3 linked regions of the Drosophila melanogaster genome follow. The protein of the gene in region 1 purifies or fractionates together with the protein of each later gene. This does not show direct contact. Each region holds a gene or a part of one and is shown on either strand. Other genes may lie near its edges.

Region 1 (3,884 bases):
ACTCGATCCGTGGAAGCGAACAGTTTGACCACGCAGGGCACAATGCGTTTCTGGTACTCCACCTCGTCCAGCAGTTTGCCCAGCTGCAAGATTATAACTCTTTGTGAAATCAAGTCATATAGGAGTATGCCAATTCAATAGACAACCTTAAACATGGGAGCCAGCACGGCAGAGCCCGCATCTCCGTACTCGTAGGCTGTTATCAGCTGTGGAAGAATCTTATGCCTGCACACGTTGTCCGGAAAGTTGTCGAGATGCGTGGTCAGACCACTGAAGAAGCGATTCTTCTCCGCCTTGTCCTTGATTTGGATCTCCTCTAGGAAGAGCAGTGTGTCCACCAAATCGTTTTTGAAAAAGCCTCCAGGCTTGCGGCAACGTGTGATTATATCCGCCGGGTTGGGACGATTCGAAGGCGAGGCGCCAACCAGCTCACAATAGAGCGATTGCAGGGACTTGGGTATGTGTTCTATATCCTTGAGGTTGGAGCGTTGCTTGAGCACACCGTTGAAAGCTTCCCACACGAGGCAGCCCAGGCCCCACATGTCCACGGAGCTGGTAGAGAATCCGATTTGAAGGATTATTAAAATAGTCTAAGGTGAGAGGATTACGTACCATTTGGTGGCCGCCTTGAGCTTGCTCGGATCGTTCTTTTCGGGGGAATCGTAGACCTCCAGGGTCACAGGTATTTTGGCGGGCGGCATGGGATTACCATCCGCCGCTGAGACGTACTCCAGGCTGCCCAGTTTCCATTCGCCGGAGGCATTGACAAACACCGACCAGGCGGAAACATTGTTGTGTCGCAGATTGCCATCGTTGTTGAGAAAGGACAGGGCGCGCTGAAAGGGATTGGTGACTTGGTTAGCTAGGGCAAAATATCAGGGATATGGATACCCACAGTGATCTGGAAGATGCCCCAGGCCAGGTAGAGGCCCTTTTGGACATTGTCGCTGCCCAGCTTGGAAAAGTAAGTGCCCAGCGGATCCACCGCCTCGGTGGCCACGTACAACATCTTGTCCGTTTCCAGCGAGTCCAGATACTGCAGGATGCTGGGGTGACGCAATGTCTTGAGGCGCTTCAGCGCCGCCTTGGCCAGCTCGCACTTGGTGTCGGATCCGCTACGGATGTCGTAGACGAACACAGACACCTCCTCCAGCGTCGTCTTGCGCTTGGCCTTGTGCAGCGTCCATATGGAGTATTGGTCAAAGCCGCCCACCGGTTCGCCAATGTCGTAGGGGAAGTCTTTCGAGGAGTCGCGCGAGAAGAACGACCACATTATGTGTTTTGCTCGGCGGCTCAATATTTTGTTACTGTTGTGTCACACAGCAACAGCAACAACAACAGCAACAACTGGCGATTGCAACTGCAACAACAACGCACTGCGCAGGCAACACACGCACGCACACACGCACGCACGCACTCACACACACGCACACCTTGTTGCTGCCACACAAAGGCACTGAAATCGGTGGAGCCCCGATTCTCGGTTTATCCTCAAGCACTATGCCTCTGTCTTTAGCCTTGGCTTGAGCCCTATCCTCCTCATGCCAATCCAGCCGCCTGATGTCCTTTATTTTCCTCCGATGCGCAGCAACAATTTTCCAGCTTTGCTTACGCACACACACACGCACACAGCTAACTTATCCGCTGTTTTTCGTCCCCAGAGGTCTCATCCCTGGGATCCCGGGTGTCCTGGACAGGGCGATCGTGTCTATGTGGCTCTGCTGCGGGTCGGGGGAGTCAGTAGATCGGATCGGGCGCTCGTCTCCGTCGAATTATCCTAATCTTTTTCCCGAGTACGTCAGCTTTTTTTTGCGTGAGGCGTTAGTGACGGAACTTCGTGGCTCGTGCGTGAGCAGCTGATTCCAAAACAGAGCTGGCAAGGAGAAGGAAAACTCTGGTCGAGGGTAGAAAACAAGCTGGCATCTTTGGCAAACCTCTTAATCCTTATCAATTATTATTCTGTTTTTAACTCTATTGTCATAATTATGAGTTACATAAATTCAAATTAATTTCAAGCTTTATTGTGCATTCTGAAGCTTTCCAAAGAAGTTTTGTATTTTATCCAATATTAATAGTTATATGTAGCACAAATCCATTATCCGAAATTTCCATAATTAAAATAAATTATTTAATATAATATTTTACCGTTCACCACGAATCGCCACCGCGTTAACCCGAACTGGGTGGCAACTCTGCTCGGTGTTATAACACTCGTTGTGGCGCAGCCAACTTAACGCAAGGTAGGTGAATTTTCTCAATTTTTGCCGAGTGAATCGAGCTAATTTTCGCGACAGGGAATCTTCGACAACTCACAGGATGATGATGCAACGCACCCAGCTCCTGCTGCCCCTGGCCATGGAGGCCACCATGCTGGCCCAGCAGCAGCGTGGCATGGCCACCCTGAAGATGATTTCCATCCGCCTGAAGTCGGTGAAGAACATTCAGAAAATTACGCAATCGATGAAGATGGTGTCCGCTGCCAAGTACGCTCGTGCCGAGCGAGACTTGAAGGCGGCTCGTCCTTACGGCATCGGCGCCCAGCAGTTCTTCGAGAAGACGGAGATCCAGCCGGACGAGAAGGCGGAGCCCAAGAAGCTGCTCATCGCAGTGACTTCGGACCGTGGTCTTTGCGGTGCCGTCCACACTGGTGTGGCCCGTCTCATTCGCGGCGAACTGGCCCAGGACGAGGCCAACACTAAGGTGTTCTGCGTGGGCGACAAGTCGCGCGCGATTCTGTCCCGTCTGTACGGCAAGAACATCCTGATGGTGGCCAACGAGGTGGGCCGACTGCCCCCCACTTTCCTGGACGCCTCGAAGATTGCCAACGAGGTTCTGCAGACCGGTTACGATTACACCGAGGGCAAGATCGTGTACAACCGTTTCAAGTCGGTGGTGTCCTACCAGTGCTCCACCCTCCCCATCTTCAGCGGATCCACCGTGGAGAAGTCGGAGAAGCTGGCCGTCTACGACTCGCTCGACAGCGACGTGGTCAAGAGCTATCTGGAGTTCTCGCTGGCCTCGCTCATCTTCTACACCATGAAGGAGGGCGCCTGCTCGGAGCAGTCCTCCCGTATGACTGCCATGGACAACGCTTCCAAGAACGCCGGTGAGATGATCGACAAGCTGACCCTCACCTTCAACCGTACCCGACAGGCGGTCATCACTCGCGAGCTGATTGAAATCATCTCCGGTGCCGCCGCCCTCACATAAGCGAATGGAATGTGTTCGAACAGCTCTAACGATTCATACAGCTAATTGCATATGGTGCCAGGCACCTGGAGCTACGCCTGGAGCCCTAGTAATGTTACTCTTTCAGAAAAACCCCAGAATAAATAGCGTGGAACGAACGAAAATAACTTTAACCATGGAGTCCTTACCTAATTGGAGTGGGAGGCAAGGAATTTGAAAGCACTTGCACAGGTCTGTTTGGTTTTTACACATTGATATCATGGGATTCGATTGCATTCTTATGCAAAGACCCATTGATATAACTTAATGTGCATAAAGTCTCAAATTTCAAGTGGCAATGACTAATGACCAAAAAACTATTGGAACGTTTATGTATATTTTGATACTCTTTAAACTTTCAGAAATTGGTGGTATCTACACTTTGTGCTTATCTATGGAATTAAGGCGTGGGATTTCAATGGGATGCTTCTTCGTTGCCTAGCACATATTCTGCAGCACATTCAGTATGTAGGCTCCAATGTCCTCGTCCTGGTTGGTCCACGATATCAAAATGTTCTTCTGCTTGGGATCCTTCTCGTCCTCCTCCACCTTCACCTCAACGGATTCGATGGCTATGGAGCCGTTCTCCTGCATCGTCACCGTCCAGCCGGCTAGCTTTTCTTCGAGCAGAGTCTTCAGTCTTTCGCTTGTGCGAA
Region 2 (6,625 bases), on another chromosome or scaffold:
GTATGTATGTAGTTTCTCAACAGATGCATTCCATGCATGGATCAATTAACAAACCATAATAGACCGCGACAAGATCATAATCACGATTAGTGGCAGAGTGCAGGTTAGCCAACCATTTCTTGGATATTACTTGATTTCCCACCAATCTGATCTGCCCACTGAAAATCTCTTTTTTTTTTGGTATAAATTAATACGTTTCTTAACCGAAAAGCATAACCAATTTGAACAATTTGATAGTATTTTATAAAATTGTTATAAACTGAGTAGAAATATGATTCTAAATGGATATATATATATATGCACATCAGTTGATTATGTTGAATATTTGTGTAAATAAACATATGTTTATTGTTGTAAGTATGTAATACTTAGTGGCTATTTAAAATGCGCCAACAGATATCACTGATCCGAACCGTTGGCCAATTTTACAACATCTTTGGCCTATTGGGCCAACATAATGCGTTTTACATGGCTCGAAGATGCGACTGGTGGCTTGCATAATAATCGGCTCGTTTTATAAATACCTGCATATAGATGGAATATAGCCACCATCAATGAGATGGTTCGGCTTGACAACAGATTCCGATTCAGATTCACCTTGAAATTGCCGGATGAGGTGAAATGGAATGGGTTGGTTTGGTTTCGATTGGATTGGATTGGGTTGGGTTGGGTTAGGTTTTCGCTTTGGTTTATGACAGACTGCCGGCCGCCTTGTGAGGCAACCGCTTTGCAGCACGCCCGTGTATGCAAATTGAATTGACCAAAATCCAAAATCCAAATCGAAATCAAAATCAAAATGAAAACGAAAACCTAAACCATAAAACATAAGATGCCGAATAAAAAAAAAAATACGAAATATGAAAGCCCCATTCCGAGCTTATCACTAACGTAGCGTCTCATTTTCATGCTAATTGTGGGATCCCCATTCGGAATTTGGGAAATGCAGCGTAAGACTTGATGAAACTGAAACTGGTAGCTGGTAGCTGGTAGCTGGTAGCTGGTAGCTGGTAGCTGGTAGCTCCGAATCCAACTGGCTATGGAAGAACCAACCACGACGATTGGCACTTTTGGGTGCGTCCAGCAGCATTTGGTGAAAATCGAAATGAAAACGAAAGCCCATCATCATGATGCTGCTCATCATCGTGGCGATGATGATGATGGCGTTGATGGGCAGTTTGGAAATGTTAATGAAACGCCTTTTGTTCGCCCTTGCTGGCTTATATCGTATAAAAGACTTGGTCTCCAATCGATCGGACATCAGTCGCTTGCTCATCGGCACTCAAGGCGTTTTTTTTTTTTTGGAATTGGTATCATCGCATCAAGTGGATTAGTAGTCAGCATGAAGGTGAGCTGCTCACAATGTCCTGTGCCGGCAAATATCCTCTTCTAGTTTTTTTTTTTTTATTTATCCAAACTGATTTGAAAAGTGACAAAGTGGCAAGAGCATCCTGAGCTCAGTTTAAATTCTTTCGAACTTTCGAAGAAGTGATAGTTAATATTCAAATACAAAGTGTGCTGAAGAATATCAGAAGATTGAAAATGAAAATATTTAAACAAAGAATGAATACAAAGTATATCCATTTGGAAAATACAGTCTATGAAGATCAAAGATCCTTTAAAGATATAGAAAAAAAAACCAGCGATAAAACTCTACTTTCTAATTGGAAAACATAACAAAAACTTAATGAACTTTATATATTCTTTAAAATCCTCTAAGGATGCAACATGAAACATGAAACTAAATCGCTTCTTATACTCTGCCATCCTTCCAGGTCTTCGTTTGCATGTGTGCTCTGTTCGCTGTGGCCAACGCTGGCTTCCTGGGACTCCTCGGCGGTGGCGGCGGTGGAGGCGGTGGTGGCGGCCTTAACCTCGGAGGCGGTGGTGGCAACGGAGGCGGCGGCGGTGGTAGTGGCGCTCGCGGCTATGGCGGCCATGGACCCAGTGGCCCAGTCCAGGTGGTCAAGGTGATCCATCAGCAGGGCGGCGTTGGCTACTCCTCCGGCGCTAGCTATGGCAGCGGCTATGGCTACGAGGCGGCTCCCCAGATCTTCAAGGTGAAGGTCATCTCTGGCGGCAGCGGCGGTGGCTATGGACCCGCTCCTGGACCCGCTTATCTGCCTCCAGCTGGGCCCGCCCCCTCCTCCGTCAAGGTGATCAAGATCCTGCAGGAATCCGCACCCATTGTGAGTGCCCCGCTGGTCGAGAGCGCTCCGCAGATTGTCAAGGTGGTGAATGTGGCATCTGGACCCGTGGCTGGACCATCCTTCATCGGCGGCTCTTCGGTTGGCGGCGGTGCCGTGTCCCAGGTCATCAAGGTCGTTCACGAGAGCCACGACAGCGGCATCTCGTCGGGTGGCTACTCGTCGGGTGGCTACTCCTCCGGTGGTTACTCTTCGGGTGGAGCCACCAAGGTGGTGCGTGTGATCCATGAGCACTCCGCTCCAGCTGCCGGTCCAGCCTATGCCCCCATCGATGTGCCCGCACCAGTGGCTGCTCCAGTCGCTTCCTACCTGCCTCCTCAGGAGATCGCTGCTCCGGCTCCAGTTTATGCTGCTCCAGCTCCGGCTCCAGTTTATGCTGCTCCTGCTCCCGCTCCTGTGTACTCCGCACCTGCTCCCGCTCCAGTGTACTCCGCTCCTGCCCCAGCTCCTGTGTACTCTGCTCCTGCTCCCGCTCCAGTGTACTCCGCACCTGCTCCCGCTCCAGCTTACTCCGCTCCTGCTCCCGCTCCAGTTTACTCCGCTCCTGCCCCAGCTCCAGTCTATGCCGCCCCAGCACCCGCTCCCGTCCTGAGTGTGCCACATCCCGCTCCTGCACCCGTTTTTGCTCCCGAGGAGCAGTCCCTGCCCATCGGTCACGCCCCTGCCCAGACCTACGGCCCACCGGGATACTAGAACAATTCGCCAATCTATCGGAGGACCTTCCTGCTAACTACATCGACAGCATATTACCATTCCCACACAACGCCATGAGTTAATTTAAGACATTTTTTTTACAACACATTTTTTTGTTACCAAATACATAGACAATTCCAAAAAAAAAAAATCCAATTTTCTTTTTTCAATTCTATAGTATTTATCATCTTTATAAAGAGTTTCAAAATGGATTATCTTCTATCTGCCAAAAGTATAATTTTAGCCATTGATTAATTCTTGTTTCCATAAAAAAAAAACAAAGTTGCTTTTTATTACTACTTTTGAGAGAAATTTAAACAATCATCCGAGATAAGATATGCGAACTATCCATGAATGCAACACACCAGATGAAATACAAACTATACTATTTGTTAAGATGAAAGACGAGCTCATTTACAAATTGTAAGTTTTTATGCTTATGCGATTTGCATAAATTGGCAAGGGAAAAAGAAACGACGTTCGTCTCTTTCGGCCAAAATGCAAATCACTCATATTTTTGACTTAAAGATTGCCAAAGCATTATCATATCAACGGTCTATCCCACAGCGAGCAAATATTACACATTTCTCTTCACCAGCTCACATACATATATTATAAACTATATAAACACACAGTTTAGCGGCATAACATGAAAAAAAAAAGAAAAAAAAATCATTTGCCTGGTGGATCACGGGTCATTAATACGATATTATGATTCGCTTTTTTATTGTTTCATAACTCTCTGGCTTTTTAAGGTGATCGTTATGTTTTTTATTTATTTCAGACACAAAGCATCGATTGTGGTTTATTGGTGGCGGTTGTGTGGTGATTACGTCTATTCGGCAGCCTTGACTAACGCTTCGGCGACCTCCACGGCAATGGCAGCCTGGGCCTTGGCCTGCAAAACAAGGATCGTGGTTAAGTCTCGTTTAGATAGCTTCAGAATGTGCAATACAGAATGCAAAAGCAACTCAAACATAAGTTTACTCATGGAAATATCGAATGTGTAAGCGTTAATTTAAGAGCAAACTTGTTTGTACAAAGAAAGTATATCAAGTAAAAAGGATGGGCACATAGAAATCGTTTAGTAACTTAAATGCCAGTTGGCGTGAATGGTGGAAGCAGTGTTTCCATCAAAAGAGTCTGTTTGAGTTGTACTTTCTGGACCACTACTTCTACTTTCTAGACACTACTCTACTATGCAACTTCTTGACTAGATTCGCACCTTGTCGTCGCCAGCGGAGCTAAGCTGTGACTGGTATTTCGCGAGCAGCTGGCGCGCCTCATTGGCATCGATGTCCTCGATGTTGTGGGCCTCCTCGGCCAGAACCTGAACGGAGGAATCCTCGTTGACGGTGACGGAACCGCTGGAGACGAAGAACTTGAGGGTCTTGCCATCGTTTTCCACCACCTGGACAACGCCGGGCTTCAGGACAGCTGCAATAGCAAAGAGATTCGCCAACGGTGATATAACCATCTCGAGGCAACTGAAACTGAATGATCGAACTTACCCAGAGTGGGCACGTGCTTGGCCAGGATGCCGAAGGATCCCGAGAAGGAAGGCACATCGATTTGGCGCACCACAGCGGCATCGTAGAAGGTTTTGTTGGCGGCGGCGAAGGTCAGCTTCATCTCATCCGAGTAGCTGCGGTTCTGGGCCAAGCGAGCGCCGCGGGCGGCCAGCAAACGGGCGTTCTTAACGAAGGACATTTTGGGCTGCAACGAGAGGATAAATTCAGGATTAAAAGTCTTTTCTGCCACAGCCAGCCAGCATAACAACAAAATAACCAAATTATGTAACTTTGTAGGTTAGGCGGCGGCTGCTATTGCGTTTCCCCAGCTCAAATTTCGATCGCTTTTCATTGCAAATCCTCGGGCACTGTGATCAGTGGACTACCCCTCAATTTATCAGTTATTTTCACCTGTTTTTATTTCGGTTTGATAGCGAAAAACACGAGAAAACTTCAGTGATCAGCCGCTGTTTTTGCGAAAAACGTTTAAGTCAGAGTGACCAGCCGGGAATACAAAACTTATCTAGCAATAACGCGTTTTTACGATATTTAGAGGACAAGACAAAATACAAAATTTTCAATACGCAACAGGCTCTTACAAAATAAAAAGTGCAATCATTTCACACATAATAATTAAGTGTTTTAATTATAATAATAAAGTGCCTCAATCAATAAACAAATTATATAGACCAATAAACTTTTAGTGGCAACACTTATTCTTTTAATTCATTAGTCTGGCATCGCCAATTAAAAGCTTAAATTTTTTGTATATTGCTTTTGATCGTACATTAAAAATGATATTAAAAGAAAAACTATTTATTCCAAAAATTATAATTTAAAAAATGAAATTTCCTTTATTAGATTAAGACTTTGATTAATAACGGTGTGTTTACATGGCATAACCATGCGACCATTTATACTGTTATGAATCTGGTGTTTTTGATTTTGTTTAGTTTCTTTTTCAGTATTTCCTTTTTTATTAGATCCTTTTATTAAAGTTCGGAGTTTTTTCGTATCTCACGAATCTTTTACCCGCGCAACATTCAAAACTGGCGTTAGCGACTATTTTTAGCCACCGCGCTACCTGGTCACACTGGCACAGGCAGCACAACAACAAATTCCAATTGGAAATAGAAACGAAACAATGCAGATTGCTGCATTATTATACAAGTGAAGAAGAAGAGAGTGCCATTTTCGGCTGCTATTTGTGCACGTCTCTGTGACTGTGTGTGAGTGTGTGCGTGTCGCGTGTGTGCTCTGCGCTGAGGTGTTTGTTGGCGAACGACAGCGAAAGGCGACAAGCAAACAAACAAACAAACAAAACACACAGGACGTAAGTGCTTGCAACATTTACCCAAGTTTGTCACCCACTCGCGCCCTCTCTGTCGCACCTGCAGGCGAAACGCAGTTGCGAAAAACAACAGTGTTTCCCCATGTTTGTGTTTGTGTGCATAGATAGCTGTCTATATATTTTTCGCTCTGCTTATTTTCTATTTTGTTTTGTTATATCTTCTATTTTGCTTGGCTCTTCGTGTATGTGTATAGGTGTCTTAGCAAATTGCGCCTTTCAGTTGGAAAAACTCTGCAAAAAATAGAAACAGAAAGCTTGCCTTAAAGTTCATTCCTCACACACACAGCTGACTTTGTTGTGGAAAAAGGGTGTGAAGAAGAGAAGGATTTTCTGCTTTTTGTTTGTTGCACACATACAGGCCCGCATACACATGTGAACGAGCAGCTGTAGCGCGCATGTGTATGTGTTTGTGTATTTTTGTTTACCTCTCTCTCCGCCGTCACACTCTCACTCACTCTCTTCTCCGCTGTCTTGCCCTCTGCCTGCGTCGCGGTCGCCAGTGGCGTCGCAACGCAATATATTTCATGTTATTTCTGATAAGAGAACTAACCGCAATCGGTCTATATAAACATATATACAACAGATCCGATCCTTAGCTATTGACCCCAAGCTATAGCGGTGCGAGCGGAACGGCAACATCGCAAAGAAGCAGCGGCATAAGACAACAACAATGTTGGGTCGTTGCTCCTCTTTTTGCTTCTTCGCTTTCATCTTCTGCTCCTTTTGTTTTTTGTTACGGTACTTTTAGATACTTCGAAAAGTGTATACCCTTCGTACTATCTGATTCAGGCAAAATTATATGTAGGTTTTCTTGTCATCCGATCTTTATGATTAGTTGTCAATCTCAACTAATTAAGAATAAAACA
Region 3 (4,086 bases), on another chromosome or scaffold:
TTCAAAACTCAGCTCCGGCAATGGTTCCGTGTCGTCTAGGGAATCTGCGGACAAAATAAGTTATTAATTACTTTGCAAACAAACGTTTACGGTGCTTGAATCTACCGGTCAAGTAGTCTACGCGGTAGGTACTCATTTTTGCCAATTTTCAAATCAATTTCAAAATGTTCTTTATCATCAGCTGCGTTCAAGGCGGTTGCAGCAGTGTTGTAAAATGTCGTAGTCAGGTTATTATCGGCCTTGTTTGATTTTATCGGCTCCATTTCGATACCACTCTATTTCGGATGCCGTTAACATAGAGCGATAAGCAATCGATGAGTGGCGCCTAAATTAAATATTGCCCTTTATCAATGATCAATGCTTACTTACATAACTTTATATAACAAATAGTCCTTTGAAATGCCGAAATGTCAGGCAACAACAGTAATACTTAAAAGCCGTACTATTTTAAATCAATTTTAAGATCCCTACTAATATTCCAAGTTTTAAAACTTCGTTGTCCATAGGTGTTTGTTTATATTTTACTCGATTGTGATTGGAGCGCCAACAACTTATACAATATGCATAAAAATCGCTTAAGAATATGATTTTAGTTAATGACTGACGGCGTTCCGGGGATCTACTTCTTAGCCGCCACCTTCTTCTCGCGCGCCTTCTTGCCCTCCGTCAACTCGGATCGCTGCGATTCAGTCAATGGGGGCAGAGTGCTGGTGACGACACCAGTGCCCAGGGTCAGGTTTCCGTCACGCAGCGTGAAGCGTTGTCCCTGCTCCAGGACCATTGGCCGGATGAGGCGCAGAATGAGCTTGGTGTCTTCGCCGGGCATGACCATCTCCTTATCGGGAATCTGCACCTGCACGGCACAGTCCCAGGTGCGGGAGAACATCTGCAGTTGGATGAAGGACATGAAGGGCTTTGTGCGACCGCCTTCATCCTTGGACAGGATGTACACCTGGGCCTCCAGCTGATCGAGTGCCTTCACACTGCCCGGCTTGCACATGACCATGCCGCGCTTGATGTCATCTCGCTTAACGCCGCGCACCAGAGCTCCCAGCTGATCACCGGCTTGCGCCTCCTCCAGAATCTGGTGGAACATCTCCACGCCCGTCACCGTCGACTTCAGCACCTTGTTATAGCCCACGAACTCGCACTCCATGCCCTTCTTGACCACTCCGCGCTCCAGGCGACCAGTGACGACGGTGCCGCGTCCGGGAATCGAATACACATTCTCAACAGGCAGCAGGAAGGGCTTGTCCAGCTCGCGCACAGGCGTGGGGATGAAGCTATCCACCTCCTGGAGCAGTTTCAGGATCGCCTCCTTGCCGATCTCGGGACTCTTGTCCTCGAGGGCGCACAGCGCCGAGCCCTTTACCACAGGGATCTTGTCACCATCATAGCCCATCTCGGTAAGCAGCTCTCGGATCTCCATCTCCACCAGGTCGACCATCTCCTCATCGGCGGCGTCCACCTTGTTGATGAACACCACGATGTGATCAATGCCGATCTGCTTGGCTAGCAGCATATGCTCGCGAGTTTGGGGCATGGCGCCATCGGTGGCGGCCACAACGAGAATGGCGCCATCCATCTGGGCTGTGCCGGTGATCATGTTCTTAATATAATCGGCATGTCCCGGACAATCTGTGTGGCCGTAGTGACGCGTCTCCGTCTGGTACTCCACGTGGGCTACATTGATGGTAATACCACGAGCCTTCTCCTCGGGCGCATTGTCGATTTCATTGTACTTCTTGCTCTCGGCCAGCTGCTTGTCGGCCAGGACCTTGGTAATGGCCGCCGTGAGCGTGGTCTTGCCGTGATCCACATGGCCAATGGTGCCCACATTGCAATGGGGCTTGGTTCGCTCGAACACCTTCTTCTCGTTGGCGTACTCGCGCAGGTACTGCTGCATGTTGCCGGTTCTGGGCGCAGCAAGTAGTCCGTTTCTCTGCCAATCCTTGCAGGCCGTGGAGGTGGCAGTGGCACCCGCCATACGCAGCATTCTGGCAGAGCTCATGGCGCGCCGGCTGCAGCGCAGGGCCAATGACATGGATGCGGTGGACCGGCAGACGGCGGCGGCAAATGCATGTGACATGGTTCTGGGCTTCCTATTGGCGCTTTTAACTAAATGTGTGGATTAGAATATGAGCTACGCGATGGATAGCTCCTGCTGCACTTACGAGTGAAGATTTAGCTATCCTGGCAGGGGGTAAAAAGCCTTTTCACAGGTCGAAGAAAATCTTACGGCTCGAAATTGCGTAAACCCTGAAATGTGCTGTGCGCCAGAGTTGCCACATGGTGGAGGTTGTCCGATAGGCCACCCACTTATCGATACGTTAAATTATTTAAAAAAAAAAAAATTTATAATGGTAAAATAATTATAAAACATTAACATTAATTAAAACAGGCTACTACTTTAAATATTTACTTTGAAATAGAGTAATATATTTGACTGCTACTTTTGCATAAGAACATTGAAAGGGGTGGCAGCCCCTTGTTGACGTTATTATTTTGTGCGCGTTTTTTTCCACCCATTAACCACCCATCTCAACAACTCGTCTAAACTCATAGGACACACCAATGCCAAATATAACTTGCTAATTAAATTTATGTGCTTGCCAATTCTCTAATTGCACGTTAGCATACTTTTTACAGTGTAAAAACATTTGCCCCCAAGACTGTACCCCACTAAAAACACCAACACAAGCATACAAATGCCCATGTGTGTAACAAGCTGTCTGGCAACGCAGCGCCATGGGATGTTCCCAGATCGTTAAAAGCACTTTTTCGTTTCGTCAGCAGAGTGCACAAACTTACGAAAAATCTAAATTCAGACCCATTGCCAGATATATGCACACCGCAATGCAATACGCACTCATAAGTTAGCTTGCCGGTGTTGTGGCAGGGGGGTAGACAAGCGAAGGGGGAGCCGCAAATCGAGGAGATCAATTTGCGCGCCAGCGAATGGCCCAACTGCCATGGCGAGTACACGCTGTACCAGAGGTTGAAAATTCAATTTGAAATACGAAATGACCAGATCCTTACCCAAATTTCCGCCACTCGTGTCCATGCTGGGTGTGTATTGTGTATGCTGTGCCGCTGTGGTTCGCGTATTGTGTGTTGGGCGCTGTTTTGAATGCAGTGCGCGGTGACTGCGGACAAAACAAAAAGAAAATCTGCACACTGGGAAATGTGAATGCGTTGAACTCAAAGGGCGTCGCGGGCGAACGAAACGGTCGCGAGGCGGTTAGTCACTGCGGTGAGATGCGCGTCGCGATATCACAGCTATGTGCACTTTCATTTGGCGGCCTTATCAACGAGTATTTACAATCGAGTGCAACAGCAAAATTCAAAATTCAATTTAAATTGCCGTCGAGTGGTCTTCCTTTACTTTTATGAATCAGGGTGAGACCGTGTCGCTACCGTTAAATTATACCGCCATACACACGCAGATATACTGAAATTTCCTTAGGAAATACTGGAAAATACTTCAAAATTATACGGAGCCATGAAGGTGAATGACTTGGGTAATATGTTAGCAAAGACTCATACCAAAACTAAATTCTTAAAATTTATTTAGACAACTTGAAAAATGCAAATATTTTAATATTAATTTTCTGGAACTCCAAAATTCAAGTTTTACTAGTTGAGTCGCGTAATCAAATTTCTGTGTTGTGATATTAAATTGTTAATTTTAAATTTCGATCCCCTTTCAATAAGAAAAGCATTTCAAATTTATTTATTCTTCTCTTTTTTATTCCTTTAACTATGTCTAAATTATAATCAAGGTAAGATAGATAATTAAAAATAAAATAAGCTTTCATTTTCACAGAACATACTCGTCGAACATTTAAAACGCCAAATGTAATTTTCAACATCTTAATAAATTAACACTTAATGGCATCCGCAAAAAAATATTAAACTAAGAAGATAAAAGTATAAACAATTCCACAACGGACAATTACTGTCAATAGACAAAACTACATAAACTCGGAGGAGGGACGCAGATTCACCCGCCGATTGCGCAGCGTGTACGTGCGAGGAGTTGCTTCATTCTCCTGATTGGAATCCCTTCCCGGATTCTGTTCCAGG

Evidence for each region. The genes of interacting proteins can lie anywhere in the genome.
Region 2: the proteins of ATPsyngamma (region 1) and ATPsyndelta purify together in Drosophila melanogaster (affinity purification with mass spectrometry, with the first as the bait; one large-scale study listed by BioGRID). This does not show direct contact.
Region 3: the proteins of ATPsyngamma (region 1) and mEFTu1 purify together in Drosophila melanogaster (affinity purification with mass spectrometry, with the first as the bait; one large-scale study listed by BioGRID). This does not show direct contact.

The regions. Positions count from the first base shown.
Region 1 is NT_033777.3:29,747,180-29,751,063, reverse strand, and holds ATPsyngamma (ATP synthase, gamma subunit), read left to right. Parts: upstream 1-1,900; 5' UTR 1,901-2,240; exon of another isoform or gene 2,241-2,294; 5' UTR 2,295-2,316; coding exon 2,317-3,210; 3' UTR 3,211-3,349; downstream 3,350-3,884. Other genes in the region: yata, read right to left, coding at 1-83, 147-552, 613-836, 896-1,273; IntS11 (integrator 11), read right to left, coding at 3,667-3,884. UniProt on the Drosophila melanogaster protein: Mitochondrial membrane ATP synthase (F(1)F(0) ATP synthase or Complex V) produces ATP from ADP in the presence of a proton gradient across the membrane which is generated by electron transport complexes of the respiratory chain.
Region 2 is NC_004354.4:10,211,269-10,217,893, reverse strand, and holds ATPsyndelta (ATP synthase, delta subunit), read right to left. Parts: upstream 4,925-6,625; 5' UTR 4,820-4,924; intron 4,614-4,819; 5' UTR 4,608-4,613; coding exon 4,409-4,607; intron 4,335-4,408; coding exon 4,123-4,334; intron 3,796-4,122; coding exon 3,733-3,795; 3' UTR 2,898-3,732; coding exon of another isoform or gene 1,773-2,897; 3' UTR 1,346-1,772; coding exon of another isoform or gene 1,340-1,345; 3' UTR 501-1,339; downstream 1-500. Other genes in the region: CG2962 (uncharacterized protein), read left to right, coding at 1,340-1,345, 1,773-2,897.
Region 3 is NT_033778.4:13,505,747-13,509,832, reverse strand, and holds mEFTu1 (mitochondrial translation elongation factor Tu 1), read right to left. Parts: upstream 2,277-4,086; 5' UTR 2,175-2,276; exon of another isoform or gene 2,119-2,174; 5' UTR 2,090-2,118; coding exon 620-2,089; 3' UTR 501-619; downstream 1-500. Other genes in the region: mip120 (Myb-interacting protein 120), read right to left, coding at 1-44, 106-136; mars, read right to left, coding at 3,975-4,086.